Linked DNA regions of Mus musculus: regions 1, 2, 4, 5, 6 and 7 are each reported to be linked to region 3. The links are microRNA targets in miRTarBase. Many come from high-throughput screens and were not tested one by one. Region 3 holds a microRNA gene; each other region holds the end of a gene's coding sequence.

Region 1 (4,224 bases), not on the chromosome of region 3:
ATAGGACTTTCTATCAGTCATTCATCATAATCACTAGTCTCGGGGTTTCTTCCAGTCCTGAGATCGTCTCCATTTGACTGCTAACATCCTCCTGTCTGAGGCACATTGACACCCCTCAGGCATCTCGGAGAGACATGGCAGGCACTCAGTAAATAGCCTCCATAATTACAGATCAAGGATTACCAGCTATGCCTTAGCTATATGCCTGACAAACACGTTTTAAAAAATCATTTCTTTTGTGTGTGCACATGCGCACGCACATGCCAGGGCGCCTGTGGAGAGGTCAGAGGACAATTTGCAGGAGTGGGTTTTTGCCTTTTATCATGTGGGCTCCAGGGTTTGAACTTGGACTTGGCAGCAAGCACTGTTACCCATCAGGCTATCCTGCCAGTCCATAAACCTGTTTTTATAATCATTTTTTAAACCCAGGGGTATTTACTATATGCCAGGAAGGAGGATGCTGGCTGTGTTGTTCTCTGATTATTTTTGCGGTGCTGGGGGTGGGGCCCAGAGCCGTGCTCCTGCACTCACAGGTACTTCTGCTGTCTCTCTAGGCCATCCCAGTTCCCTTCCCACACAACTACACAAAGGTGTGGGAGACTGTGCCAGGCCTTTGGTGCAGGACACACATCCCATCCTCCCAGCAGCTAGCTCCCCCTTACACCCCTCACAGAGAGGCTGAGGAGAAGGGGATTATATACATGGTATCTATTGCCTCATGGGTTTAAAGATTTTTTTTTTTTTTCTTTCAAGACAGGGTTTCTCAGTGTAGCCCTGGCTGTCTTGGAACTCACGCTGTAGACCAGGCTGGCCTCAAACTCAGAGATCTGCCTGCCTCTGCCTCTGCCTCTGCCTCTGCCTCTGCCTCTGCCTCTGCCTCTGCCTCTGCCTCCTGCCTCCTGCCTCCTGCCTCCTGCCTCTGCCTCTGCCATCTCCCGAGTGCTGAAATTAGAGGTGTGTACCACCACTGCCTGGGTTTAGAATAAATTCTTTTTCTTCAAGGTAATATTTTTATTGATTCTCTGGGAATTTCACATAATGCACCCCGATCACATTCACGTCCCAGTCCGTCCGTGTCAGTCACTTCACCCTTGTGACCTCCACCCCCCCTTAAATGTAACTGAGTACTTCCCATGCCACATCCCCCTCTCCCCAGAAGCTGTCAGTTGTGGAGAGCTAATAGTTTAGCATCCCTATCACAGTTGGTTTCTTTGGTTTTTCGAAACAGGGTTTCTCTGTAGACCAGGCTGGCTTCGAACTCACCGAGATCTCGTTCTCCCTAGCTCTGGGATTAAAGGCTCTGTGCCACCACTCCTGGCTCCTCCAATGTTACTTTCAATATGCTGACCAAAGAGATAAAGGGGCTCAGTGGCCTGGGAGGTTGGGCGGCTGTTACCATAGGCTCTATGGAGGAGTTAACCCACGGTAATAACTACTTGTAATTTTATCGTAGTTGGATTTAGTATGTCGTCAGTTTGTCACAGTGAGACCGACGGGTTACGTTTGTATTTGGTAACTCACCCTTCCACAGGATCCAAGGATGGTCCTCAGGTCCGAATTCAAAAAGCAGTGATGGGGGCTGGGGCCCACTCAGTGACAGAGAGCTTACTTATTAGCATGACTTCATGTGACCTCAGCCTGGCTAAGCAGGTCGAAGCGGCCCAGCTCTCAGGTCAGTAGGAAAACACAAAACTGCGCTAGGTGTGACGGACACCGGCCTTTAATCCCAGTCCTTTGGGGGAGGTTGGGGTGGGGTGGAGGTAGAAGAATTTCTGTGAGTTGGAGGCTAGCCTGGTCTATATTGTGAGTTCTGGGGAGCGGGGCAGAGGGGAAGGAAAACAAAACCCAGAGAAGAAAGAAGGAGAGAAAAAGAAAGAGACAATAATGACAAAAAAAAAAAAAAAAAAAAAAGCAAGATCCAATTTTCAATATGCCTGGCTGGCAGAGCTAAGGTTACAGGTATGAGATTGTCCTGACCCTAAAACCATATCCCGGAAGTGCAATTTTTCTCTATAGTTACTTCCAGTGAGAGGAACCAGGAAGGGATGGAGTCTGGGCTATCCCAGGACAGCTTCCAGTGGGAGTGGCCCATGCTTCTTCCATGGCCTGCTTTCCTTCGTGGGCTCCAGTCCTCTTGCCTGAGACCACGGGAGCCTCTGCAGGGTGTGTGTGGCTCCTGCTTCTACGGCTAGGGGCACCCAGGCTGGGCCCGTCTCTCGGAGCACATCAAACAGCGCTCCTCCATCTCGGTCCAGGAGAAGAAACTGGAAGACTGGGCTTTTCCCTCAGCATCCTTCTGGGAGGAGCAGCAGCCAAGGCCCTGAGCAGGGATCCAGGAGGGCCCAGCCAGCCCCCAGAGTCATCCCCAGAGGGACCTGGAAGGGAAATCCTGCTACAAGAACACAGCCAGGCGATGTGACGAACACTTTTATTTACAAATATAATTAAAAGCCCTGACAGTTAATCATGCTCTTCCTTGGGACCTGAAAAATGTTTTCTTTTTTTAAGTGCATGCAAAAGGAGCGGAGCCTTTTTCTCGTCATCATTTTTTATTGTAAGAAAATACACAGTTTGAAAGGATGGATAATGCAATATTTATGACCACAGATAGGGGGCGTGGGGAAGGGAAGGAGAAATAAACAGAGATGATTGGCAGAGAAGACATTGAACTCCAGAGACTGGAGTGGGGAGTGGGCGTGGGGGGCAGGGGAGGAACAGGAGGAGGAAGTAAAAAAATTCTGATCAGAGAAACAGTTAAAATACAATATGAAAATAAGCAATTCCTCTCCTTAGATTCCCTCTATACACAAAATACATGATTTGCCAAAGCCCAATTTTGTGCTACTGGGATTCTGTGAGCTCCTTTAAGTGTCCTCGCACCATCTGCAACCGCAGAGGATGCTGGGATACAGTAGACCAGGCTGACGGCAAGGCAAACTCTTGCCGGCAGGTTCTTAAAAACCACAAGATCTCTTCACCCCTCCCACCCACCCCGGCCCCAAAATAGTAATAATATGTTACCACTTCGTATGTACATCACAATTAGTTCCTGTAAAATGTATCAAATTTTCAATCTTTAATAAAACTTTGTTTTTTTTTTAATTCCTGATGAATAAATACCAAAAAAATAAAATAAAATAAAGTTATGCAGCAGCTGGTTAAGGTGTAAGGCTGCGGATTTTGTGTCTCTCTCCCCCTTGGCATGTATTGTTTATTTAGGTTTCTTTAGGTATTTTCTCTTTTTTTTGCTTTACTTTCACTGGTTGGTGACAACGAGGGATTGCTCAAAGCAACATCCATCTGTGTTCCATCGCCGTTTGTTGGTTGACAGACCCTAAAACCACCTCCAAGGTTTTCAGCAGGACATCCGGAACCGCGTCGTCGCCGGCACCGCAATGCAGGTGGTGGACGGCAGGGGCGGCCGGGTCTCGGCCAGCACTGAAAGTTGACATGGGGGGGAGGAAAGGGCCCCTGATGGAGTAAGAATCAACAGGCACTAGTGCGACACGGTGTCAGGGAGAGAGAGAGAGGGAGAGAGAGAGGTGAGGGGAGAGAGAGAGGGAGGGGTAGAGAGAGGGAGGAGGCAGGGAGGGAGAGAGAGGGGCAGAGAGAGGGAGGGAGATAAGGGGGAGGAGAGAGAGGGAGGAAGAGAGAAAGAAAGAGAGAGAGAGAGAGAGAGAGAGAGAGAGAGAGAGAGAGCAGCGCCCGTTAAGATGGGGAATGTAGTTTCGCAGGGTCTGAATTTTTTTGTTTTCTTTTTTTCATTTTTTTTTTGTAAATGGCAAAAAAATTTAATCTCATCTATAGTCCTCCTTAGGAAAATCTAATGTCACCAAATTCCCAAAGCCCATTCTGAGGCTCTCCATGTCAAAAGTCTCGGTCTCTCGCTCTTGTCTCTCCAGGAGAGTCTTGATCCTCTCACTGCGTTCCTTCTGCAGGGCAGCCAGCTCCTCTTCAATCTGCACAAGCACACAAGTGGCTCTCAGTGCTGATGCCCGGCCCACAGCCACGAGGAATCCCCCCTCCACCCCCTACACACACCACACACACACACACACACACACACACACACACACACACACACACACACACACACACACACCACACACACACCACACACACACACACCACACACACCACACACCACACCCCACACACACACACACACACACACACACACACACGCCTGCGCGCGTATGCAAGTGCATGGAGCCCTGAGAGCCA
Region 2 (4,185 bases), not on the chromosome of region 3:
TGGTCTCCGCCCAACCCCACACTCTTTCTTCACTGGGTCTCTGTCTCTTCACTCTGCAGGGCTCAGACCTTCCCTTTGCTCCTGGTTTGAACCTTGGTTGGGTATAGGGATAGGGTCACCCCTGGTCCGTCTTTGTTCTGACACTCTCTTTTCTTACTGCTGGCCTCTTCCTTCTCACCACAGAATGGGCCTCTCCCCCTCAAGTACCGTGTCCAGCCAGCCTGCAAGCGGCTCACCCTGCCCACGGTGCCAACCCCCTCAGAAGGCACCAACACCAGCGGGGCATCAGAGTGTGAGTCAGTCAGCGACAAGGCTCCCAGCCCTGCCACCCTTCCGGCCACCTCCTCCTCCTTGCCCAGCCCTGCGACCCCATCCCATGGCTCTCCCAGCTCCCACGGCCCCCCAGCTACCCATCCTACTTCCCCCACTCCACCTTCAACTGCCGCTGGGACCACCACAGCTACCAATGGGGGCACTTCGAACTGCCTGCAAACGCCATCCTCCACCAGCAGGGGGCGCAAGATGACTGTTAATGGCGCTCCTTGCCCCCCTTGAGGAAAGGGACCCTCTCCTTCCGCAGCCATCTTTTCCCTCCTTTTTACTTTTTCTGGGCCCCCTTTTCCACTTTTGACTTTCCCTGGTTCCTCCCATTTTCAGAGTGGGAGGTGGGTTTTATAAATAAATCTATATATATATAAATATATATATGTACATAGGAAAAACCAAATATACATACTTATTTTCTATGGACCAACCAGATTAATTTAAATGCCACAGGAAACTCGTGTGTGTGTGTGTGTGTGTGTGTATGTGTGTGTATGGGTGGGGGTGTCTAGGTCTAGGGGGTCTTTGTAGTTCACTCTGCTCTTCTTGGGGGGTGTATCTGGTGGTCTTAAGGGGCCATTGGAAGTATTAATGTCCTTCCCTATGTCCCTTCTGCTTTCCAGGGCAGAGGGCGTGTTGGGTCCCCTAGCCCTAGCTGACTAGTGGGTCCATCTTGGCTGTTCCCCATACCTGTCCAAACCCCCACCCCCACCCCCCCGTTGTTGAATGTTCAGAGTTGCTGAGACAGTCAGTGCCTTTCACAAATGCAGTCTGTGTCCTCTGGCAGTGAGGACCAAGTGGCTGTGAAGAAGGCATTTCCCTCACCTCCTCAGACAGTGGAAGCCCCCCCCCCAACCCTCCATCCCTACCCTCCTGTGGGAGACCTGGCCCTATAAAGTCTATATGTGACTTTGGCATGGTGAACACTTCATTTTCTCCTGTCCTACCCCAACCCAAGAACGCAATCTAGCAAGACTGGAGGTGACACTCACTGGGGGCCTAGAGTAGAGGGTGGCCCCAGACAAGCACAGACTCCAGTTCTGCCAAAAGCCAACAGCCCTCCAGTCCACTGCCTCACCCCCCAGCTGAGGCCAGGCAGGGATAGGACAGAGGCATCTAGAAGCACAAGAAAATAAAAGAATGAGCTGACCCCAACTCTACCTGGTGGACCACCTATTAGGGGCAGACCTTGCTCTCGCCTGCTCTTCCTCAAGTGTACATAGATTTGGGGGGAGGGTGGGGGGGAAAGAGGACAGGGTGTTGGCTTAGTGTGTGAGGTTCTGAGCCCATGGGTCTGTTTGCACCACGTCCTGAGTCTGAGGTCCTGTGACTGTACCCTCCTGTCCTAGGTCATTTATATCTCTTGGCTTTGTAATAAATGCTGTGTACACTCTCAAGCCTGTGGTTCTTTGGGACAGAGGGAGGGGGAGGAAGAGGAGGAGGACGGTGAGGACGGTGGTATGCTCCCCAACCTTACAGTGCTAACTGGAGTGGATCTGAACTACCCTGCTTTGGTCACCAGACACCCTCCGCCTCCACAGATCATACTCTAGCAGAAGACCCATGAGCCTTGCCAGTGACCACAGAAACAGTTAGTTAGAGGGCAGGCCTCAGTGTTTATTGACAGCTTTACCGGATGCTGGACCTGGCTCTCAGCTGCCCAACAGGAGAATACAGGTTTTTCAGGGTACAATTGCTAACAAGATGGGGTCCTTGGAGGTTCCCTTCCATGTGTGGCTCAGCATTACTGCCTGGAGTCACAGTACCCCCTCAGAGTGGGGAACCTACTTCTGCTTTCTGTACCTGCTCACTCTTGTGGGTACCGTCACAGTAAGGGGGCCGCTGAGTGGCCTTGCAGGTACATAGGGCCACTGTGCGTGTCTCTTGGGCCTTGAACTTGAGTGGAGAAAGGCCAGTACGCTGGAAGAAGTGGGAGCCATCACAGAAGGGCTGGTGAGAGAGAGACAGAAAAAGGTTAGGGTGGGGAGTGGAGCATTCTCGTTTCCCCGAGCCCTGCAATGTGGGGGTCACAGAAAGGCTGTCATGAAGAGAATACTGTCTCTGTATAATGTTGCAAGCATTTCTCATTGGTCACCTTTGGGAGATCCAGAGACCAGGACAATTTGCAAGAACTGGGCCTCAAGTAGAGGCAATGCTACTACCCCAAGACACACACACACACAGACACACACACACACACACAATTTGCAAGAACTGGGCCTCAAGTAGAGGCAATGCTACTACCCCCAGACACACACACACACACACACACACACGAAGTCACACAACAACTTGTGGGGGCATGGTTTTCTCCTTTCACCATGTGGGCTCTGGGGATCACACAGGTCAGCAAGTAACTTTATCCACTGAGCACTTCCCAGCCAGGTTCTCATGTAACCCAGACCTTGAACACCAATCCTGCCTCTACCTTCCAAGGGCTAGGACAATGGATGTATGTCGCTACACCCTGTTTATTGCGTGTTGGGGATGGATAGATTCCAGGGCTTCCACACACTGCAGACAAAGGGTCTATCCACTGGGTTAGGTTCATAGCCTCACCTCAGTTTTTGTTTGTTTTGGTTTTCTTTTTTAACGGCTAGGTGAGGTTGAGTCCCCATTGGCCCATGAAAGCAACATTCTTTGCAATGTTCCTCAGGGAGGGAGAGAGCCCAGTGCGCAGTGCCTTTGTAGGGTGGGGTCAGTCTTGCCTGTAAGCAAGGGGGTGTCTACAACAGCCTGCCTAGAGTACCACTATGAATGTGAGCACCACATCTCACAGGAGAACCCTTCAAAGGATGGTGAAGACAGAGGCCCAAGGAGGGGAGAGGCCTTGTCAGGGGCAGAGTGTGCGGAGAGATGAACTAGTGAAAACTAGAAAACCAGCACCCTGCCTAAAGGGCATGGGCATGTACCCACAATCCTCTGGCTGGCATGCCCTTGAAACTGCCCCACCCTCTGGAATATCTGTTCAAAGGCCACAAAGGAAGCCTCCAGAGCTGGATTTATGGTCTCAACCACAGCATGGGAAACAGGACAGAGTTCTCCAGAATGAAAGGGAGAAGCTCCGGCTACAGTGAAGGGCTCCTGTACAGCTGGGATGGCATCGGATGGCAGCAGGCAAGCAGGAAAAGTCACATCCAAGGTGAAAAGAGACCTGGGAGGGGACATCAGGGAAGACTGAACAGAATCCTCCCAGCTGTGAGGACCAAGGCCTGGCACATGGGCTGCTTGGAAGGAGCAGGGCGGGCAGCCTTCGAGGAGACTGAGTCAGCCACAGAGCTGTGGCCCTTCTGTACCTCCTAGGCTCCTGGGGAGGGACATGGACATACACTGACAATGGCCATCCTGATAGTGGTGTCCCTGACCTGTGAGCTGGTTCCTGCCATCGAGCCCCATCCCCCAATTGTATGTATCTCACCTATATACAGAAAGAAGGGAAATGTGGACGGACTGAAAGTCCCCAGGATAGACCATGCTGACCCCAAGCACGTGGAGAGGAGGAGATGGATGTTTGCGTGTCACACTGCCAGGCCTAACCGTTAGCGTCAGAGATCAGGCTGTGTCACATCTAAAGGAAAAGCTACAGGAGTAACTCACCTGATTCTTGCTTCGGCCACATACACACCACCTGTAGGTTTTCCCGGCAACCAGCTCCAATCTGATGGGTGTCTTCTGTGCCACCACTGGCTTGGCTGGGTCTTTGGGGAACCATCGGGCCTATGATCAGGGTGGATGAGTGACTCGGGATGATCCCAAGTCTTGGATATACTTTTAGTTGGCGGGGGGTTCTGTAACTCTTCTTCAAACTCTGGGGCTTGAAATCAGGTGGCTGTCCTCCCCTCAGTGGGAGACCTGGTTCCT
Region 3 (4,213 bases):
TGTTCATGTGTATATGTGTATATGAATATACATATACATACACACAAACATACATGCATGCATGGACACACACACACATGAATGGCACTCATTGATCCATTTGTATGATATATAATTTAGAGCTTTAAATATTATGTAGTACTGGGTCAGTAATAGTCTCACTCATAAGGTAAAAACACTTGCCAGAGTCAGGTGAAGAGAGAGTTCAAATACAAAATTTACTTCATGAAGAGATAGAAATCAGACTGGGATGTTTCTTATGTATGTGCATGTGTGCATATATGTATGTGTGCATGTTAATATATGCATATAAATATACACATATAAACTAACCAACACAACATGCACACACACAGAGACACACACAAATACACACACACACACACAAACTCAAAATTGATACTCATCTATCCATTTGAATGATATGTAACTTAATGTTTTAGAGCTATGTATAAATGGGTCAAGGAGAAGTCTCACTCACTAGGTGAAACACTTGCCAGAGTCAGGAGGATCAGGAGTTCAAATTCATGCTTAATTTCACAACGATTTAGAGATCAGTATGCAATTGATGTGATGCACACCAAGAATGTGCATGTGTTAGAGTTGTGTGCATATTCACTTCTCTATATGAATATGCATATACACACATGCACACACAGTAATGCCACTCATATATCCTTTGAAATGATATGTGCCATAGAGCTTTAGCGCTTATGCGGTAGTGATCCAGAGCTATGTCTCAGTTAGGAGGTGAAACGCTTGCCAGAGTCTGGAGGATCTGGAGTTCAAATTCATGTTTAACTTCATGATGAGTTAGAGTTCATCATGCGATTCATGTGATGCCCAACAAGAATGTGCATGTGTGTATAGCTGTGTGCATATTCACTTCTCTATATGAATATGCACATACACGCAAGCACACACAGGAATGGCACTCATATATCCTTTTGAATGGTATGTGACTTAGAACTTTAGAGCTTATGCAGTACTGATCAAGAGCTATGTCTCAGTTAGGAGGTTAAGTACTCTTGCCAGAGTCAGGAGGATGAGGAGTTCAAATTCATATTAAATTCATGATGAGGTAGCAATCAGTCTGGGATTCATGTGATGTCCCCCGTTTATGTGCATGTGTGCAGAAGTGTATGCATGTACATGTGTTTATGTGAATATACATATACATACACACATATACACACACATGCAAACATACATGTAGGAATGGTACTCATCGATGCATTTTAATGATATGTGACTTAGACCTTTGGAGATTATGTATGACAGGGCCAGTGTCAATTCTCACACACCTGGTGAAAACCCTTGTTAGAGTCAGGAGGTATAGGAGTTGAAAATCATGCTTAACTTCATGAGGAGTAAGAGATCATCCTGGATTCATGTGATGCCCCCTATATATGTGCATGTGTGTATACTTGTGTGTGCATGTATATGTGTCTATATGAATATACATATACATACACACCCATATACACACGCATGCACGGAAACACAAAAACATAAACATAAACACAGGAATGGCACTCATTGATCCATTTGAATGATATGTGACTTAGAGTCTTATAGATTATGCAGTAGTGTGTCAATGAACGGTCTCACTCACCAGGTGAAAGTTGTTGACAGAGTCAGGAGGATCAGGAGTTCATATTCATGCTCAATTTCAGTTAGTGATCATCCAGACATTCATGTTATGCCCCTCATGTATGTGCATGTGTGTTTACGTGTGTGTGCATGTGCATGTGTGTATATGAATATATGTATACATACACACACACATACACACGCACGCAACACACACACACACACACACACACGACACTCATTTATTCATTTGAATGATATGTGACTTAGAGTTTTAGAGATTATGTAGTACTGGGCCAGTGAGTGCTCTCACTCACAAGGTGGAAATCTTGCCAGAGTCAGGAGGATCAGGAGTCGAAATTCATTCTCAACTTCATGTTGAGTCCGGGATCAGCTTCTGATTCATGTGATGCCCCCAGTGTATGTGCCTGTGTGTATATGTATGTGTGCATGTGCATGTGTGTATATGAGTATACATATACATACGCACATACCCATACAAGCATGCACACAAACCCAAAACTGCCACTCATCGATCTATTTGAATGATATGTGTCTTAGAGTCTTAGAGATTCTGTATGACTGGGCCAGGGAGAGGATTCACTCACCAAGTAAAGACCCTTGCCAGAGTCAAGATAATCAGGAGTTCAAGGTCATGGTAAAGGCATGATGAGTTAGAGGTCATCCTGGCATTCATGTGATTGCCCCTATGTATGTGTGTATGTGTTGATGTGTGTGTACATGTACATGTGTGAATATGATATACATACATGCACACATAAGACACATATGAGCACATAGACACACAGGAATGGCACTCACTCATCAATCTATGTGACTGAGAGCTTTGGAGATTATGTGTGACTAGGTCAGGGAGAGTTATCACCCATCATATTAAAAATGCTTGTTAGAATCAGGAGGTCAGGAGGTCAAATTCATGCTTTATTTCATGATGACTTAGAAATCTGCCTGGGATTCATGTGATGCCCCCATGTATGTGTACATGCGTGTACCTGTGTGTGGATTGTGTATATGAATATACATATCTACACACGCATAGACATGTACACAGACACACAAACATGAATGCAACTCATCGATCCATTTGAATGACGTGTGACTAAGAGTTTTAAGATTCTGCAGTACTGAATAGGGAGAGGTCTCACTCAGCAGGTGAAATCCCTTGCCAGAGTCAGGTGGTCCTGGAGTACAAATTCATGTTTAACTTCATGATGAGTTAGAGTTCAGCATGCGACTCATGTGATGTCCATCAAGAATGTGCATGTGTGTATAGTTGTGTGCATATTCACTTCTCTATATGAATATGCATATACACGCATGCACGCACAGGAATGCCACTCATATATCCTTTTGAATGGTATGTGACTTAGAGCTTTAGAGCTTATGCAGTACTGGGCCAGAGCTATGGCTCAGTTAGGAGGTGAGTACTCTTGCCAGAGTCAGGAGGATGAGGAGTTCAAAATCATATTTAATTCATGATGAGTAGAGATCAGCATGCGATTCATGTGATGCCCTCCAAGAATGTGCATGTGTGTATAGCTGTGTGCATATTCACTTCTCTACATGAATATGCACATAGCTGTATGCACACATACTCACAGGAATGGCCAGAACTATGTCTCAGTTAGGAGGTGAATATTGTTGCCAGAGGGAGGAGAATATGGAGTTCAAATTCATGTTTAACTTCATGATGAGTTAGAGAACAGCCTGGAATTTCTGTGATTGTCCCCGTGTATGTGTATATGTGTATAGGTACGTGTGCATGTAAATGTGGGTATATGAACATGCATATATATATATATATATATATGTGTATATATATATATATATATACATACATACATACACATATACACACACATATGGACACATACATGTGCACACAAACACACATGGTAGTCATCCATTTGATTTATGCATGCTTAGAGTTTCATTGAGTGTATATTCATGGGATAGCAAAACATCTCACTTACCAGATGAAAACTGCTTGCCAGAGTTAGGAGTCTCAGGAGTGCAAATTCATGCTTAACTTCATGAGCAGTTAGAGATCATCCTGGAATAATGTGATGGCCCCTATGCATGTGCCTTTGTGCATAAGTGCGTGCATGTATATGTGTGTATATTTTATGCATATACATACACACACCTATACACACATGCACACAGACATGCGAGAATGGCCCTCACGGATCCATTTGAATGATATGTGACCTACTGCTTTGGAGGTTATGTATGACTGGGCCAGGGTGAGGTCTCACAAACCACGGGAAAACCCTTGGTAGAGTCGGGAAGATCAGGAGTGCAAGTTCATGGTAAAGGCATGATGAGTTAGAGGTCATCCTGGCATTCATGTGATTGCCCCTATGAATGTGTGTATGTGTTGATGTGTGTGTACATGTACATGTGTGAATATGATATACATATACATACACGCACACATAAGACACATATGAGCACACAGACACATGGGAATGGCACTCATCAATCCATTTGAGTGATAAGTGACTTAGAGTGAAAATGCTTGCTAGAGTTAAGAGTATCAGGAGTTCAAATTCATACTTATCCTCATGAGAGATCAGCCTGTGATTCCTCCATGTAT
Region 4 (4,000 bases), not on the chromosome of region 3:
TCCACTTTCCCCCTCTTTGCTCATCTCTCTGCTCCTCCATCCTCCCCATCCCCCATCTTCCCATTCCTCTATTTTGGCCCCAATTCCTAGTGCAGATGCAAAGGGTGGAGTAGCTTCCCTTGGCGGGCGGGCAAGAGAGTTTCAGGCTGGTCCTGGCTAAGTGCCAGGGTCAAATCAGAGAATCAAAAGCTGTGTCATCACATTTAGGAGGAGACTGAAATTCCAGCCCGCGCCTTCCAGAAAGTCCCAGAGCTCTTGGGTCCGGAGGACCAGTTGGTGCTGGGCCCAGATCAGCCAGAGGATGAAGTTGGAGAGAGTTCTGAAGAGGAGCCAGTGGAGTCCAGGGCTCAGCGGCTGCGCCGCACTGGTTTACAGAAAGTTCAAAGCCTGAAAAGGGCTCTTTCCAGTCGTAAAGCAGCACAGCCCACACCAGTCAAGCCGCCACGCGTAGGGCCTGTCCGGAGCTCTGAAGGCCCATCAGAAGGCCAGCCTGCAGCTCAGCCTGAAATGGAGTCCGAGCTCGAGACTGCCCTGGAGCCAGAACCTCCTCAACCTACCAAGGAAGATCCTGAGAAACCCGTGCTTCAAATAGAGAGCGCAGCCTGATCCCTGGGGCTGCCTGTCCCATTCGGTGCTTAAGCCTTGTCCCAAAATAAGTACTTATAGAGTGCAGCACTTACATCCAAATAAGGAGAGAATCCTGCATCCACTGCCCAGCTCCAAAGCTTCCTTCCTGGCTTTCCAGTCTGAACCCTGTGTCCTCTGACAGAGGAGCTTTCAGCCTAATTTAGGTTCACCACCAATAAAAGCAATTTTCTCTAACCCAGACTCAATGAGAAAGGGCGAGCGACAATGCGCATGGCTTGGGGAAGGAATGGGCTGAATGACAAACGTTCTCACTTTTCACCGAATCCTGGGTCCTCCATTGGCACGGAGAAATATTGGCCACTTACTGCTTAAATACATTCCTCTTGGGGACACATAAGTACAACTTTGGGGCCCGGCCTGGGGCGGGGCAGTATGCAGTTCTTTGAAGAAAACGCCCTAGTTAATGTCAGCTAATGCACTCTTCCTACTTCTGGTGTCTGACACTCACAGACAGCTCACACCATTGGGTTGGGGTGCATTTAGAAAGCAATCCAAAAACAGCCCTTGGTCTACTTTCCTTCTGCCAACAAAACAAAACAAAGCACACAAAGCACTCATTGTTTTCAAAACCAAATGAGTAATCTGATAGGTTGAGAGAATCCAGGCCTCCTAGAATCGAGCATCTCTCACAATGAGTGTGACGAACTGACTGTGTCTTCATGTCAATGCATAAAATAAAAAAAAAATAGGACCTCCATGTTTTTTAGATCTTGTTAGGGTTTGAATCTGAAAGGTTCCCTGAAGGCTCATTGTTGGGAGCTTGCTAGCTTTCTGTGTGTGTGTATGTGTGTGTGTGTGTGTTAGAATGGCTTGTGATCTAATCAATGGAGTATGCCCTTGATTTATCCATAGTATGTCAGTCTTATTGGGAGACAGAGAAAAGAAGGAGGTTAGACTTAGTTGGAGAAAGCAGACAGATGGATGCTATGCCTGCTGCCACAATCTGCCTCATTTCAGGCCAAAAGCCGGCACCCATTTTAAAAATTTAAAAACCAATCTTCTCAGTAGTTAGTATAGCATGCAGAATTAATTTCCCACTTGATGCATAATAGAGAAACTGCAGTGTTAATTCCCCGTTGAGGGGACATGTCATGTCAGTCTCATGGACTTTCAAATATTCTGGAATGTTTGATGTTCACCACCATTTATGTGGGCACTCCCATATCCAGCACAAGCGCAGTCATCATAAATACCAGTGGGCACGGTGTGTGTGTGTGTGTGTGTGTGTGTGTGTGTGTGATGGATTAGCTACTACCTTCTTAGGAAAGGGGTCTGCGTGTAAGCCCAGCTGCTTGAAGTCGGCCAAGCTTCTCACTCCTTGGCCAGGTAGGGCAGAAGCACAGCTGGTTGCTCATGATGTCTTACTACGGGTGTACAGATAGCAGCTGGCCCACACATCTGGTGGAGCTGCTATGGGTGCTGTGACTAGATCTGAGGAATGGCTGAGACACCAGTGGGTACTTCTGGGCCAGATGGCACACACAGAAGACGTGCATGTGATTGGGAGACAACCTGCTCTCTTATGTCACTTAAGGGACAGAAGTTGCCCAGTGACTCTGGAAGTTTGTTTTTTATCATATTAAACAAACAAACAGAAGCATTGTATCTCTGCATATGTGTGGAGGTTATAGGACAACTTTTCCTGGTTGCTCTCTTTTCCCGCTGTGGGAACTGAACTCGGATCACCAGGTTTATGCACACACACATTCCTACCCCTGGGGCCATCCTTGGCCCTTTATTTTCTAATTTAAAACATTCTTTTTAGGTTTATTTTCTGTGTTCTGCCTGCATGTATGTATGTGCACCACATGTATGCCTAATGCCCACAGAAGCCAGAAGAGAGCACTGGGACTTCTGGAACTGAGTGACAGATAGTTGTGAGCTAGGAACTGAACCCAGGTCCTCTGCAAGAGCAATGGATGTCCTTAACTGCTGAACCATCTCTCCAGCTCCTATATTCTTTTATAGCTTTTGAATAAGCTCCATTCAAAACCAACAGTCATCTATTGAGTGCCTACTATGTGGCAGGCCCTGCTGAGTATGATTCAGAATTAAAGTTAAGCTTTCTGGTTGGATAAACGATTCTGTCGCTCCCTCACACAAGGAAGCAATGATCATGGACTTGACTCCCCGTTCACATTCTTATCTGTAGCCCTTTTAGGCAGTCTTTCACGGGACCAGGGTTAGACTGCCTGCCATATCCTGCCAGTCTCCCGATTCACCCCCTTATTGTCTCTTATCACCTTCACAATAGAGCTAAAGCTTCCCACTGTCCCTGAAGACCTCTTGTGAGTTGGTTCCTTCTGTCTCTTGCTGGGTGTCCTCACGCAAGACGGTCTCTGGTTAAAAACTCCGAGCACTGAAATGATGTCACAAGTGGGAGATCACACCTCACCTCATGTGACAGGTCACTATGGGAATGCTGTTGCACCAAATGTTTTATACAGAAATTCCCTTCAAGCTATGCTTATGAACTGCATGAAAACACAAGCATGTGGGCTCAGGGTCCAGCCCCAAGAGCTCTCATTGTACTGAAACTATGTTGTCGTGTTGAGCTACGTGATCTAAATCTCATCTCCTAGAAAACTCAGCAAGGCACACCTGTTTCAGGGTCCAGAGCACTACTTGCTCAGTCCTCAATGCTCTATGACCTGGTCGTGGTTGTGGTTGCTACCTCACCCCACTCTGCCAGACTGACAACTGCACTGGAGGAAGTTCCACTCATTGTTTTTGTGCTGCTGGTGCTCCTTCTGACCACATGGTGTCACTATTGGGGTACCAGTGTCCTAGCTGCTGCTTCATCCAACATTCCACAACTCTGTCAGCTTGGTTTGACTTTCCAGAAAGGGAACAGTTGATTCACTTGACTTTGTTGGTCTGGGGCACAGGGGGAAATTGGAGGCTCCTCCTGCAGGCTCCCAAACCTTAGCATTCACACCACACCACACCACACCACACCACACCACACCACACCACACCACACCAGGTTGCTGCCTTTACTTTCAGAAATCTGCCACTCACAGGGACAGGAAAAATAAAGCCTCGACTTTTCAAATCCCTAGGAATCCACCTGACTTCTCTCTTTTAACTCAAAACAAAAGGAAGGCCTTAGAAGAATATTTTGTACCCAAAAGGTCTAGGTTCTTAATTTCCAGAAATTTCTAGAAACCCAAAGACTTGGCGAACTTCCAAGAAGGTAGAATGTTAGTTTTCATTTTTTCCTAATTGGTCTACAGTAGCAAATAATTGAATCAAATGAAAACAAAATTAGCTCTGTTTCTTAATAGGCCACTTGGTTACATTATGTTCTCAATTGTCACAGTTACAGTAATTGCTAATGAGGTTATAGATG
Region 5 (4,206 bases), not on the chromosome of region 3:
TAAGCCTCTTTCTACGCTGCCTTCAGCTATATGGGCTCAACAGTCAGCATTCTGAGGGTTTCATATTGATAAGAGGCCACTGGGGAAGGAGCTGTTTTTCTTTTAAATACACTGAGGCATCACTGGGGACCGAGGGGTTGGGGTGGATCATTGGGAGGGCGGGCAAGATGTGATGGGAAAAGGAAGAGAATCTAAGCCCAGAGGGAGATAAACTGTGTTAGTCGTCATATAGACAAGCCCACTTCCCAGTGAATGTGTACCACTCTCTGCAGGTCACTTCCATCAGTCTGCTCAATGAGGCCCTGGGCTGGTCCTGTGATGGGAGGGAGGGTGTAGCTAGGCAAATCAGAGTGGACCTGGGAGCCTCACAGCCCACCGAAGTCACTGCTTTTAATTGCTCCGTGACCTCGGGCCATGACTTGCAGGGGGACATCCCTTAGGTGACATCAACTTGCCGTGAGCATTAGATAACTCTCTCCCCTGGCGTCTTTGCCCTTTATTCACAGACAACTCTCTCCCCCTGTTTCTAGGAGAAAAAAAAAGTGCGTTCGCTACATACAAGGTGAAGGCAGCTGCCTCAGCCCACCCTCTTCAGATGGAAGCTTACTAGACTCGCCTCCCCCCTCACCGCATCTGCTAGGCTCCCCTCCCCAAGACGCCAAGTCACAGACTGAGCAGACCCAGCCGCTCTCGCTGTCCCTGAAGCCTGATCCTCTGGCCCACCTGTCCATGATGCCTCCGCCACCCGCGCTCCTGTTGGCCGAAGCTGCCCACGGCAAGGCCTCTGCCCTCTGTCCCAATGGGGCTCTGGACCTGCCACCTGCCGCTCTGCAGCCGTCCATGGTCCCTTCCTCATCGCTCGCACAACCATCAACTTCTTCCTTACATTCCCACAACTCGCTGGCTGGAACGCAACCCCAGCCTCTGTCTCTGGTGACCAAGTCTTTAGAATAGCTCCGCCTCCTCGTCCTCCATGCCCCTGCTTGATTGAAGTGTTTCCTTCTGGTTCTTGGTTCGCCCTTCCCCGCTTGGAAAGCTTTTGTTTTGTACTCTTTAATTTTGTGCCGCCGTGGCTACATGAGTTAATGTTTATGGAGTTCATTGGTCAATATTTGACCCATTCTTATTTCAATTTCTCCTTTTAAATATGTAGATGAGAAAAACCTCATGATTCTACCAAAATTTTTATCAACAGCTGTTTAAAGTCTTTGTAGCGTTTAAAAAATATATTATATATACATAACTGTTATGTAGTTCGGATAGCTTAGTTTTAAAAGACTGATTTAAAAAACAAAAAGAAAAAAAAGAGAGAGAAGCAATTTTGAAGCACCCTCCAGAAGGAGTTGGTTCTGTGTTATTTGTATTAAATACGAGCTTGCGAACCAATCACTTTACACCTTGGTATTTAAACCACGAGGGCACAAGGAATGCAGTGCCGTTTCTTTCTTTCTTTTTTTCTTTCTTTTTTTTTTCCTCCCAGTGTGAAACAACTTTTACCTTGATGTTACTTGTTATTGTTTAAATGTACAGAAACAAAGGGTTAAAATGTGTTAATATACCTTGTTCCATGGTGTTGTTCTTTTGGGGGGGAGGGGACACCACTCAACAATGAATGGAATCAACACTGTTGGACCAGTAGTATTTATTGCTTTAGAGGTTGCTTGCTGTACCTGTATGTCCGTCCAATTTTAAATATGTTTTCCCTTTTTTTTGAAACTGTGTAAAGTCCCCCCCAACCTTAGCGTAAGCATCTTATATATAACAACTCATTTGTACAAGGTTTTTAAGTTTATATATAAAATGTGTATATATTTTTTTGTTTCCTTTTTTTTTTTTTTTTGGCGTACGTTCGTTCGTTCGTTTGTTTGTTTCTGTATAAAACCCAGATGCCACCAAATGGACATTGACATTCGCATTAAGGATCAGTAGCATTAACAAAACTTGCTTTAAAAGCCATTCTGTAAAACAAGACTTGAACATTAGCGAGAGGGTCTGAGCAGCCGTCTGAGCAGCCGTGGGAACTGCCCCGTTTCCCCCTTGACCTCCTAGTCAACTGCCCTGTGCTCTTAGAACATGGACTGACCGTGTGCAAAACTTTTATGTGCCAAAATTCTCAGTGACTTTAGCTTTCTCCCTCCTTTTTGATGCTGTACTTTCTGTTCGCCATGTTTTGCTGTGATGTTACATAGATAGATTTGTATGTAGTTTTAATGTCACCTATAACAAAATGTGTTTGGTAGCAGACTGTCCAGAAAGCATTTTAAATGAAGAGGTCTAAACCCTTAAGGGCCAAAAAAAATCCTGTATATTAGATTACTCTTAAATGAAAAAGAAAAAAAGAAAAAAAAAAACCCCAGCTGCCGCTTTTATGTATGCATATTACATACAAGTAGGTAGTGACCTTTAAAAACAAGAAAACCTAGGCATGCCGATGTTGTAAAATGCTGTATAAAGCTGAGACCTGTTCCTTCAGTGCCATCGTAGTTGACATGAAGCGATTGTAAAACTGTCTCCGGTTTTCTCTGGTTTATTAAAATGCTAACTATAACATTTTCTTTTCTTTTTTTTTTTTTGTGAATACTTTGAATGTCTCCCTAACAGTTGTGGTGTTGCTGTTCTGTTCGATGCTTATTCCAAGTTCATTTTTTTGAATGGTTTTGAAGCCATTTTGTAATGAATTAAATGTCCATGCTGTACAGTACCTGTAGCATGCCTGCCGTTCTGGATTAATAAAAGCAACTTAGTATGTGCAGAAAGGCTGGCCGCTTGCTTCTGTGACTTGGGGGTGGGAGTGTCTTACCGGACACTGGACTTTCTCTGGAGGGGTGCATTCCCTTCCAGGTTAGGGCTTGAGGTGGTGTGGGTAGCATGTAGTGGTGGGTGTTTCATTGTGGTGAAGTGTCCTGTGTACAAAGGGACCCTAGGGTGTCTTCTTTATACCCCACTGTGTCACAATAACTGAACAGACACTGCTTGCCTGGCCATTTCTCACTCATACAGCCTGTTGTGCAGTGTGAGACAGAATTTGATTTTAAAAACTGATTTAGTTCACCCTGAGTGGATTTAAAGAACTGAGTGGGTACCACTTAAGGATGGTGAGTGTGAGTATGCCCTGACTGTTCTCTAGACATTCCCTGTGGGAAGAAGGCAGGGATGTATCTAGCAATCACTGAGCGAGCAGCTTTTCAGAAAACTGGCATCCCACTCACTGAGCTGTGTGCATGGAGGGGAGGGGACTCACAGCTGTGCATGGAGGGGAGAGGATTCACAGAGCTCTGCATTAGAAGGGTCCTGCTGTTCTGGAGACCTATGCTACAGGTTATCTACTGGAATAACTTCAAGTTTATCCCTATCACTGAGGAGGGTCGCAGTGAAGATCTTCCTGTGGTCATTGGGTGTCTCTTCTCAATGTCCATTGGATGGAATTTTTATTGTCCACATGTCTAGGACAGCTGCGCCTTCTGAGGGTAGACATTTTACGCATCCCAGAACCCTTTGTGTGACTGTCACTTAAGATTACTATGATGTTGGGTCAAGAACTTTCCAGAGCTCTGCCTCGCTTGGGCTAGCTGTGGGTCTGTGTACTTTCTGTATTTTGTTTTGTTGTGCTTTGTACGTTGTAAGAGTATTTCTGATCAGCCTTCCCTACTGTATTCTGTACACAGGCCCCAGACTGACCTTTGAGAATAGAAATAAGAGCACTGTGCTTCTGGTGGCTGTGTGCCAAGCTGTCCCCGTGCATTTTCTCATTAATCCTACCACCACTGAAAGAAGTCACCCCTGCTGGCATTAGCTTTATTTATAACAATGGATTGAGAAATACAATGTAATCTTGTCCAAGGCCATAGTTGGTAGAAGGGGGAATTGGAGGGACTTCAGTGGAGACCTGGCTTCGAGCCATGTTCTCAACATCAAGTTAAGCCTTCCCATGTTAGAGATGGCTCTTCTCTGGTGGATAGGATAGGACAGGCCTTACTTGCCTCTGCCTCTGCCTCAGCCTACGTCAACCTTGATCACCTGCTCGCTCTCAGGAAATCCAGCTCTCAAGAGTTCCCCCAAAGCATTGCTGTTCTTGCTGGGAGCTCCTCCTCAAACCTCTGGTCTCCCTCCAGAGAGCACTCTCCCGTGGCCAGAACCTGTGATGCTTTTCCTCTGTGCTCTTGGAGCCCCCCAGTCCCCTCCCTGTAGCTCCCTAACCACTTCCAC
Region 6 (4,184 bases), not on the chromosome of region 3:
CTGTACTGCAAGCTTGACGCCACCCCTGACTTTTTTTCTGTGGGTGCTTAGTAACTGAACCCGGGTCCTCAATGCGTTCACAGTAATCACTCCTAATGCGCCATCCTATCTTCCTGGCCTGTTGTTTAGAACTGTTGTTCTCATTTTGATGAAGGCTTTTGCAGTGTAGCTCAGTCTAGCCCAGAACTCTATAGCACAGACTGACCTTACGTTTGCAATGTTCCTGACGCAGACCCTCAAGTGCAGGGATGTCAGGCCTAAGCCGTTATACCTTCCTGTATACTGTAAAGTGGTAGATTCTGCATGCAGTTAATGGCCATTGAGATGGGCCACCGGGTAGCACACCTTCCCTAACTTCTTCCCTCGTCCTGTCACGTGAAATGGAGTCTGAAAGTCGGGCATGCGCAGAGAAGCGCTCCTCGACCCTCTGTGGAGTCCCGTGCTGATGGGTGATGGGATGACTTGTGCTTTCATGTTCCACAGAAAGGAATCTGAACCCGAAAGCTGCCTGTCTGAAAAGAAGGGAGGAAGAGAAGGTGTCCTCAGAGCCTCCCCCACTCTCCTTGGCTGGCCCACACCCTGGGATGGGAGACGCAGCGAATCACATGGGACAGATGTGAAAAGGTACGCTGGGTGAGCTTTCCGCCATTGCTGCTACCCCACAGTTCCGCTGCTACCCCACAGTTCCGCTGCTACCCCACAGTTCCGCTGCTACCCCATAGTTCCCTGTGGCACATGAGCCACAAACAACAGGTTTTCCCCAGATTAACCAATTATTTTTAGTTCTTAAAAGGGGGGGGGGGACACTTTAAAAAATCATAATAAAAAAATTTTCTATCACTATATTAATTGTTTTTTTCTCCTTTTCTTTTTTCAGGTCCAAGTTGCTACCTTGCTTCATTAAACAAGAGACCACTTCCTTAACAGCTGTATTACCCTAAACCCACATAAACACTGCTCCTTAACCCCGTTTTTTTTTGTAATATAAGACAAGTCTGAGTAGTTATGAATCGCAGACGCAAGAGGTTTCAGCATTCCCAATTATCAAAAAACAGAAAAACAAACAAAAAAATGAATGAAAGAAAGAAAGAAAGAAAAAAATGCAACTTGAGGGACGACTTCTTTAACATATCACTCTGAATGTGCGAAGCGGTATGTACAGGCTGAGACACAGCCCAGAGACTGAATGGCAATCCTCCCACACTGTGGAGCAATGCATTTGTGCCTAAACTTCTTTTGGAAAAAAAAAATATAATTAATTTGTAAGTCTGAAAAAAATATTTAATTTAAAAAAAAATTGTAAACTTGCAATAATGAAAAAGTGTACTTCTGAAGAAAACGACATGAACGTTTTTGTTGGTATTCACGTCAGCTAGTGTTTCTAATTACCGGATATTGAATAGGGGAAGCCCGGCTGCCCTCGTAACAAAACCAGCAAACGTCCTGATGGCAACGAAGTGATGACATTAGCCATTCCTTAGGGTAGGAGGGACAGATGGATGTTATAGACCTATGACAAATATATATATAAATATATATATAAATATATATTAAAAATTTAGTGACTATGGTAAGCTTTTGTTGATTTGTTTCAGACTTTTTTCTCCTGTAAAAAAATAGTACTGATTAACTTTTTTAAAAGAAAGATTTTACTGTAAATATGGATTTTTTTTTTTGTCTGATTTTTGTCCCTTCCCCCGGTTTGTTATCGTAACCTGTAGTGCCAACTCTGCTTCCGGAGGGGCAGTGCAGGACGAAATGCTGACCCTGAAGTTGCTTCTCATTCACAAATAGTAAAAAGTTGTTTCTCCAGTCTTTTGGGAACACAGGACTTAAAAGTCACATCATGTGTAGGAATTACATGCAGCATTGCCCGGGCGAGGCAAAAAGCGTTTGTCTGGCTTGTGGCGCTGCCCTTGTTACCCTCCCCTGGGATTTTCAGAGGTACACGGTTAGAATGCTACAATGTTACCACTGTGCCTTCCAATGTTTATATCATCGGAAACATAACATAATCAAAGTGGCTGTGATTTAACAAAAAAAACGATTCAAGTGTTACCTACCTGTGTAGCCGAAGTAGTGTGCAGTGACCGAGACGTTTCTGAATACATGGTCAGATTTTTTTTGGAAAAAATACAAAAATTAAAAAAAAAAAAAAAAAAGAAAAAAAGAAAAAAAAACTAAAAAAGAAAGTCAAGTTCAAAAACCGTCAAATGAGAAAATTGCAAGGAGTGTGACAGAGCTGATTGATTTTTGTTGCTTTCTTGATTTTTTTTTCAAAATGGGTTTACTAAAAAGTAGATGACTTACCTGCCTCCTCCTTCGTCTGAAAAAAAAAAAAAATGCCAACCAATCATGCAGCATTATAACAAGCCTTATAAGCCCTAAAGCATTAAGTTGCACTTTTGTGAGGAGGGGTAACGCAGTATTCTCTCTGGCCAGTATGAGTGAAGTTTATACTTAACATTTGATAGAAACATAGATCAAACTACGGCACAGCAACTCATCAGATAGCTAGCGTTGACTCTGGGCACAATTGAACCAATTCCCATCGTAAGTCTTTCCAACAATGGACTTTGGTGTGTAGTGCAGTGAACACATAGGACTCCTACGTAAGCATTTGTCAGCATCCTTTTGTCTCTAACTCGGTTCTGTTTTGACAGCCACACAATCTTGGCATGTATTAAGGAAAAAAAAAATCCCTGTTGAAGTAGTTTTTCCACCTATCAGCACTGAGTAAATGCCATAACTCCGCGGAAATGGTCTAAATACCCCATTTGTTGTCCTGAACTACCAGTTACATAGTGACGAAACACATCTGTAAATTTTATGCAACCAATGGCAAACCTATCATTATTTTGAAACTGTGTATGTAAAAGTTATATTTTTACATGTAGACTCTTGTTATTATGTGTTTTAATACATTGTATCAGTTTTTTGTTTTTTTTTAAACTGTGTGGTTTTAAAAAGTCATTTAAATGAAATAGTGAGCTACAAGAATCTGAAATTTATGTTCATTTCTGAAAATGTAAGAACAAATAAGATAGTTACCACGTGGTCACCTTTTACAAACCCATGAACATTTTGATTAGCTGTGTGCATGTGTGTGCGTGTGTGCTCTTGCGCGTGTGTGTGTGTGTGTGTGTGTGTGTATGTGTGTGTGTTGAAAATTGTAAATATGTTCAGTAGCGATAAAACTAAAATGCTTTGATTTGTTGAGAAGTTCCTAAAATGTGGAGGTGGATTGAAAATGTAGGGGAATAGCAGGAATCAAATCTCATAAAAAGTTCTTCGGGGACTTTGCTGTGATGCGGTGGCACAAAGGTGCTCCAAGAAGGGCAAAGAAGAAAGACAGTAACTTCCCCTCCTCCCTGAACGATGGAAAACATGTGTACGTGGTCTCTCACCATGTTAAAGATTTTCTTTCCGTGATACATTCTGCACTCATTTTGTATAGTCTGCCAAGGCGGGTATCCCTAGGAACAATATTATTATATAGGAAACAGGTATCGTCCGATCACATTCAGGAGAAGCGTATAGAAAAGAATATGGTGTTTACTCTTTAGGGAACTGGAAATCCTCCCCGCATTGATGGATATCTTCAGAGTGGCACTTTTGATACATGTTATCATAAAGGTGCTTACTAAAGCAGAATCAAAGTTTTTCAACTCTGTAAACAAAGCAAAAAATTAAATTTTTAAATTAAATCATTTGAGATTTTTTTTTTCAATTGGTGCTTTTATATTTTGTTCTCACTCGGACAGAGAAAAAGCTGCAATTTCATGTTCTCACCAGCTTTGATGTATTCATTACTTGGTAATGTAATATGGCTATTGTCAAATTCCTTTTGGAAATAAGCAAAAGACTCCCCAAAGGCCAGCAGCAGCTGCTGGCTACTTTCTGCTTGGTGCGGAAACCTGATCTGACCCTCTTTGTAGTAATCAGGTGTATCTCCAGTTTTAAAAAGAAGGAGAAAGGAAATGTGGCCGTTTTAACGTGTTGGTTTTGTTTTGTTTTGTTTTGTTTTGTTTTCCTTGTTGTTATTTTGTAATTATCAAACCCAGGTAAGATATTGGTATTCCTGCACTGGATTTTTGAAAGAAACTTAGCAGAAGTCAGGATTAAAATACTACACAAACATTTCATAAGTGTTCATCCTATACTAGACATACACGAAGGCGGTG
Region 7 (4,186 bases), not on the chromosome of region 3:
CGTGTGTGCCATCTGGGGACCCCTGAGCGGATTCTTACGGAACGGGAAGTGTGTAGTAAGGATCTCCCCGTGCTCTCCCAGCTGGGCCAGGGCTGCTCTAGGTAGTGCTGAGTCCTGCTTCATCCCCAGGTACATTACGGTCCATTGGTAAAAGAGGGAGGTGTGCATTTTACTTGCCTTACCTCCTGCCTGTGGTTCGTCTCAGCATCAGAGGTGCCTGTGGGGTTGAGAGCACTAGCACTAACTGCAGGTGGCCTTTTGTTGAGGATGGAGAAGCATTTAAGATTCTTCAGGCTCATTGGAGAAGCCCGCAGACACACTTTTCGGTGTTTGGAGGTTATTGGCTCCTCAGACCATTTCCTGTTTGATGGGTGCTGCTTACAGATACACGGGGTATTATAAAAGGGGAGGAAAAGAAACTGGACCTCCAAAGGGTCACTGTCATAGAATATTAAGTTGACATTCAGGAAAGTTGATTAGAAAACTTACAAGAACTGAAGAGCATTTGTCCCTGCCCTTAGCTGAAAATTGCATGTCTCTAGGTACACCCAGTCCTACGCCAGGATCGGGAGATAGGCAGTTCTGATTGGCTTCTCATATCTCTTTACAGGTGGGGCCTTTGTTGAACACCATGATTAAAGGCCGTTACAACTAACCTGCCAGAGGTCAAGGCCTCCTGTCAGGTGACTGCTATCCTGTCCACATGCTTCGTTGATGAGGACAGGACACTCCAAGCACTAGTATTGCACGCTGCACTTAATGGACTGGACTCTTGCCATGGCCCTGGAGGCAGGTGTCTGAGGCAAGGCAGGGTAGTTGACTCCACTCCCATTTGGAAAGGTTTCTCACCCTTGCCTCTTGAGCCCCAGAACCTTCCCTCTGCCCCCCTGAAGTCCTGCATTTAGTGTGTGGAGTCCCAGCTTCTGGTTGTAATCATGTCTGTGTTAGTCTGTTAACCTCAGGGTGTGTGTGTGTGTGTACATGTGTGCATATGCATGTGTGTATACACACACATGCATGTATCTGTTCCTTGTTCCCTCTTCCTGGGTCAGGATGTCACTTCTGGCTCTCAGCTCCTGTCTCCTGAAGCCTCAGTGCCTCAGCCTGGGAGGAGAGATGCTCCTGTGTCCCTACAACATCTGGGCTGTGGTGCCAGAATGACTCTGCACATGAGTCTGCCTTCTGCCAGTTTTTGCAGCATAGTCAGGCTACAAACCAGGTGGCAATAACTGCTGGGGCCCTAATGGGGACATTGAGAAGGAGGCTTATCTTTGGGAGGTAGCCTTCTAGTGGAAGAGGATTAGATAAGATTCCAGTTGAGAACTACATGCTTAAGCCATACATAGAAGGAAAACTTGGGGACCTGAAACCAGGATTGTGCATATGTCCAAATACAGGCATTTGCAGCCGTTCTCTTCAGTACCAGCTCCTGTCCCTGTGCTGCAATGAGGGATTCTAGCTCTGACTTTTTTGGGCTCGAGGGGTATGAACCTCTGCATGTGTGTGTACACATCTGCACACTTGTATGCATGTGTGATCACACTTGCCATCCTTCTTGCTTACTAAGGTTCTCAACTGCTAACATTGTCCAGTGTGGCAGTACAGCGTGAACCCCAGATACTGCCTGACTCAGCCTAGAGCTTTTACACTCGGATTTTAGCCATCCCGTCTTGGTCAGATCTTACTGCAGCCTACCTAAAGCTGACTGGCTCAAGCCTCCCAGTCCTGTGTCTTTCCCTGTCTGAACCACATCCCTGCTCCTGCTGAGCTTCCTGGCTGAGTAGATGAAATGGGGTCAGACTTAGGCAGCTAACTCAATACCTTTCATCCACCTCAGGGCAAGGGGAAAAAAAATGTCCTCTTGCCTCTTAGAGCCAGCGCCTCTGCCAGACCCAACAAAGCGTCGCATGTGAGCTGGAGTAGAGCTGGGAGAGCTTGGAGATAGAATTTACTTTTCTGTTGGTAGCTGTTTATGGGAGCCCTCCTCGGGGCTGCAGCTTATAGCTCTGTGTTACACAACACAGAGCGCAATCATTTGTATCTGTTAAGAGGGAATGGGGCCCCAGCAGCTTGGCAGAGTGGTGGCCCCGTGTCCACTTACCTCAAGTCCCTTCCTTCTCTGTCAACCTTTTTTCTCTAAAATTGGAGTTGGAAGTCTGATTTTATTCTTTTCTTTGCCACCTTTTAGTCCCCTTCCCTGTAGATTTGACCTCCCGTGTTCAAGCTGTGGGTCTTAGCCCTGAAGCTCAGCTTACAGCGCCCCATGGACTGAACAGATGCAGGCGAATGCTTGTGCACCCGTGTGCGTTTAGGGGCGGGAGCTCTAGCCCCCACTCTGGGCTCTGCAGTGTGGTTGCGCAGACTTGGTACCTTCTTGAGTATGGCTCTTTAAATACAGCCCGTGCTGGGCAGTGTGATCGCGGCAAACGCATGCCTCCATCTCTTTTGGGAACGAGGGATGCAGCAGAAGAGGGAGGCAGAGTGGTATTAGTTTGGCCACCGTGGCGGATTTTCATTCTCCGCAGATCTATGGTCCTGGCTCTGCCCTCAAAGGTGTCTGGGATGTGTGGCAGGGAGTCTGGATCTGCTCGGTTGACCCTTCAGTATAACTCTGCTCTCACAGGTCTGACCTAGGGTGGCTGAGGGCAGCGAGAGAGAAGGTGAGCTTAGGCACCATCACAGGATTGGCCCTGATGCTGGGATGATGTCATGGCTGTTCCTGGTCTTAGACACCTGATGTGTACCTGTTGTTTCTAGCTCTGTCCCTCACAGTGCTGCGTGGTAGTCAAGAGCAAACCTAATGCCATTTAGCTATAAACCCACTACTCCCTGCTCCTCCATTTCTTCCAAATGCTGTTGGTTCTCTACCTCACCTCAAGCCTTGTTCCCTAGAGAGTGTGCAGGTAGACTCAGGCAAGAGGGTGTGGAAGGGTGAAAGGCTTTGGGGGTTCAGCTAGAGACATGGAAAAGCTGCCTAGAAAGCCATCTTAACAAGCTAAGGGTTCTGGGAAGAAGCAGAAGAGTGAGCTTCGGCCCTGCGGGGGAAAGGGGTGCTGTAGGTCCTGTAGCTCCTCTCACCACACCTCTGCATGCTGAGAGGAAGCTCTGGTAACCCGATTCATATTCTGCTGGGCCACTTCCTCCTGGGGATGGCAAGCAGGGACTCACCTAGGCTAGGGTCTCAACCCTAGGGCTGTTGAGGCTCCAGTTGTACTTGCAGCAGAGCAGGCATCACTATTGTGTACCCATTCTAGCCAACAGCCTGGGAGTCAGACGTGCCAAGGAAGGTGGAGACCTGGGCTTGTCCAGGGGTCAGCCATCTTGCAGGCTCTCGTGTTTATACCAGCAGTACAGTGAAAACTACTGTTTTGTGAAGTCAAATATTTGCTGGGGGGTTAGAGTTATGGGGTGGAGGAGGGGCTGTTCTGGGCATCAGTTGAGCAGATGCCCAGGATGCCTGGGGGAGACCAGCTTCCCCTACAAATCAGAGCTCTAAATTACAAGGTTTTTACCAACGCGAACAGTTGGGGGAAGTCGTCTGCTCTCATTTGCGTAATGGTTTCTGTCACTGGTGATTAGACACAGGATGAAGGAAAAGAAATTTGACAATTAGGAATGAGCCATCATTAATCTGAATCTGTTAGGAGACAGAGAGGGGAAGGCTCCTTACTATTGGGCCAACCTAGTATGGGGAGACACTCCCTATTTCTGACCCCAGAATCTTGTGGGCCAGGTACCCTTTTGGAGTTCCCACAAGTGTGGGTGGAGTTTGTATGCCTTCATAGACTGGAGTCCAGGCCCAGCTTGAGGTGGGTTTGCAAACAGACATCTTTCTGCCTGAGCCCTCGCAGTTGAAGGTAGGTAGGCTGGTTACTGCGTGTGCTCAGTTACAGGAAGGATCTCTGTAGTAGTCAGCACTGTTGCGCCCCACCTGTGACAGGGATCTGTCACTTCGAAGCACTTGAGCTTGTGTGGGAAGCCTGAGCTTCATCAAACCCCAGACACTGGTGGAAGTTGGAAAGGAAACCGTATGAAGAGTAGCAGAGCCTAGGTATGTGCAAGGAGGGGTGTGAGGAAGAGCTGGTCCAGCACAGGCTGTCTGGGAGGAGACTCGGCCTCTCAGCAGCGTTGTCTTACTCTGGATCAGCGAGCCATTGCTGTGGGGAACACTGAGGTTCCTGGCTCA

The links. Region 3 holds the annotated microRNA mmu-miR-466f-3p (CAUACACACACACAUACACAC, at 1,775-1,795, shown strand). A microRNA usually pairs through its seed, bases 2 to 8, with sites in the 3' UTR of a target mRNA and lowers its output. Matches are read on the target gene's strand: a 7mer-m8 pairs with bases 2 to 8, a 7mer-A1 pairs with bases 2 to 7 and ends in A, and an 8mer does both.
Region 1: the mRNA of Taok3 is a reported target of mmu-miR-466f-3p. Seed matches in the 3' UTR shown: 8mer at 2,802-2,809 and 7mer-m8 at 2,563-2,569.
Region 2: miRTarBase lists Pcgf2 as a target of mmu-miR-466f-3p. Seed matches in the 3' UTR shown: 7mer-m8 at 804-810 and 7mer-m8 at 814-820.
Region 4: the mRNA of Cavin3 is a reported target of mmu-miR-466f-3p. The part of its 3' UTR that is shown has no 7-base or 8-base seed match.
Region 5: miRTarBase lists Tcf7l2 as a target of mmu-miR-466f-3p. Seed matches in the 3' UTR shown: 8mer at 1,802-1,809.
Region 6: the mRNA of Tcf4 is a reported target of mmu-miR-466f-3p. Seed matches in the 3' UTR shown: 7mer-m8 at 2,866-2,872 and 7mer-m8 at 3,148-3,154.
Region 7: miRTarBase lists Hif1an as a target of mmu-miR-466f-3p. Seed matches in the 3' UTR shown: 8mer at 999-1,006.

What each region holds. Positions count from the first base shown.
Region 1 is chr5:117,273,408-117,277,631 of GRCm38, reverse strand. It overlaps Taok3 (TAO kinase 3), which reads right to left. Exons shown (of 21, transcript NM_001199685.1): 21 at 2,531-3,959. The coding sequence ends at 3,798. Among named protein-coding and RNA genes, the nearest start is that of Pebp1, 12 kb to the left of the region's middle.
Region 2 is chr11:97,686,357-97,690,541 of GRCm38, reverse strand. Pcgf2 (polycomb group ring finger 2) reads left to right here. Exons shown (of 10, transcript NM_001163308.1): 10 at 184-1,719. The coding sequence ends at 555. Cisd3 (CDGSH iron sulfur domain 3) reads right to left here. Exons shown (of 3, transcript NM_001085500.3): 2 at 3,922-4,041; 3 at 1,917-2,274. The coding sequence ends at 2,095. Among named protein-coding and RNA genes, the nearest start is that of Cisd3, 2.5 kb to the right of the region's middle.
Region 3 is chr2:10,470,233-10,474,445 of GRCm38, forward strand. Mir466f-3 (microRNA 466f-3) reads left to right here and starts at 1,721; the gene lies at 1,721-1,814. The region is part of intron 10 of Sfmbt2 (Scm-like with four mbt domains 2); the gene reads left to right. It overlaps Mir669d-2 (microRNA 669d-2), which reads left to right and starts at 1,412; the gene lies at 1,412-1,497. Mir297a-2 (microRNA 297a-2) reads left to right here and starts at 2,022; the gene lies at 2,022-2,111. It also overlaps Mir466o, Mir467c, Mir466b-1 and Mir669a-3.
Region 4 is chr7:105,477,427-105,481,426 of GRCm38, reverse strand. It overlaps Cavin3 (caveolae associated 3), which reads left to right. Exons shown (of 2, transcript NM_028444.1): 2 at 208-811. The coding sequence ends at 606. Among named protein-coding and RNA genes, the nearest start is that of Cavin3, 2.8 kb to the left of the region's middle.
Region 5 is chr19:55,930,904-55,935,109 of GRCm38, forward strand. It overlaps Tcf7l2 (transcription factor 7 like 2, T cell specific, HMG box), which reads left to right. Exons shown (of 15, transcript NM_001331146.1): 15 at 531-2,752. The coding sequence ends at 954. Among named protein-coding and RNA genes, the nearest start is that of Gm52391, 5.1 kb to the right of the region's middle.
Region 6 is chr18:69,682,200-69,686,383 of GRCm38, forward strand. Tcf4 (transcription factor 4) reads left to right here. Exons shown (of 20, transcript NM_013685.2): 19 at 484-624; 20 at 878-4,184. The coding sequence ends at 620. Among named protein-coding and RNA genes, the nearest start is that of Gm31439, 30 kb to the left of the region's middle.
Region 7 is chr19:44,570,504-44,574,689 of GRCm38, forward strand. Hif1an (hypoxia-inducible factor 1, alpha subunit inhibitor) reads left to right here. Exons shown (of 8, transcript NM_176958.3): 8 at 611-4,186. The coding sequence ends at 655. Among named protein-coding and RNA genes, the nearest start is that of Hif1an, 9.7 kb to the left of the region's middle.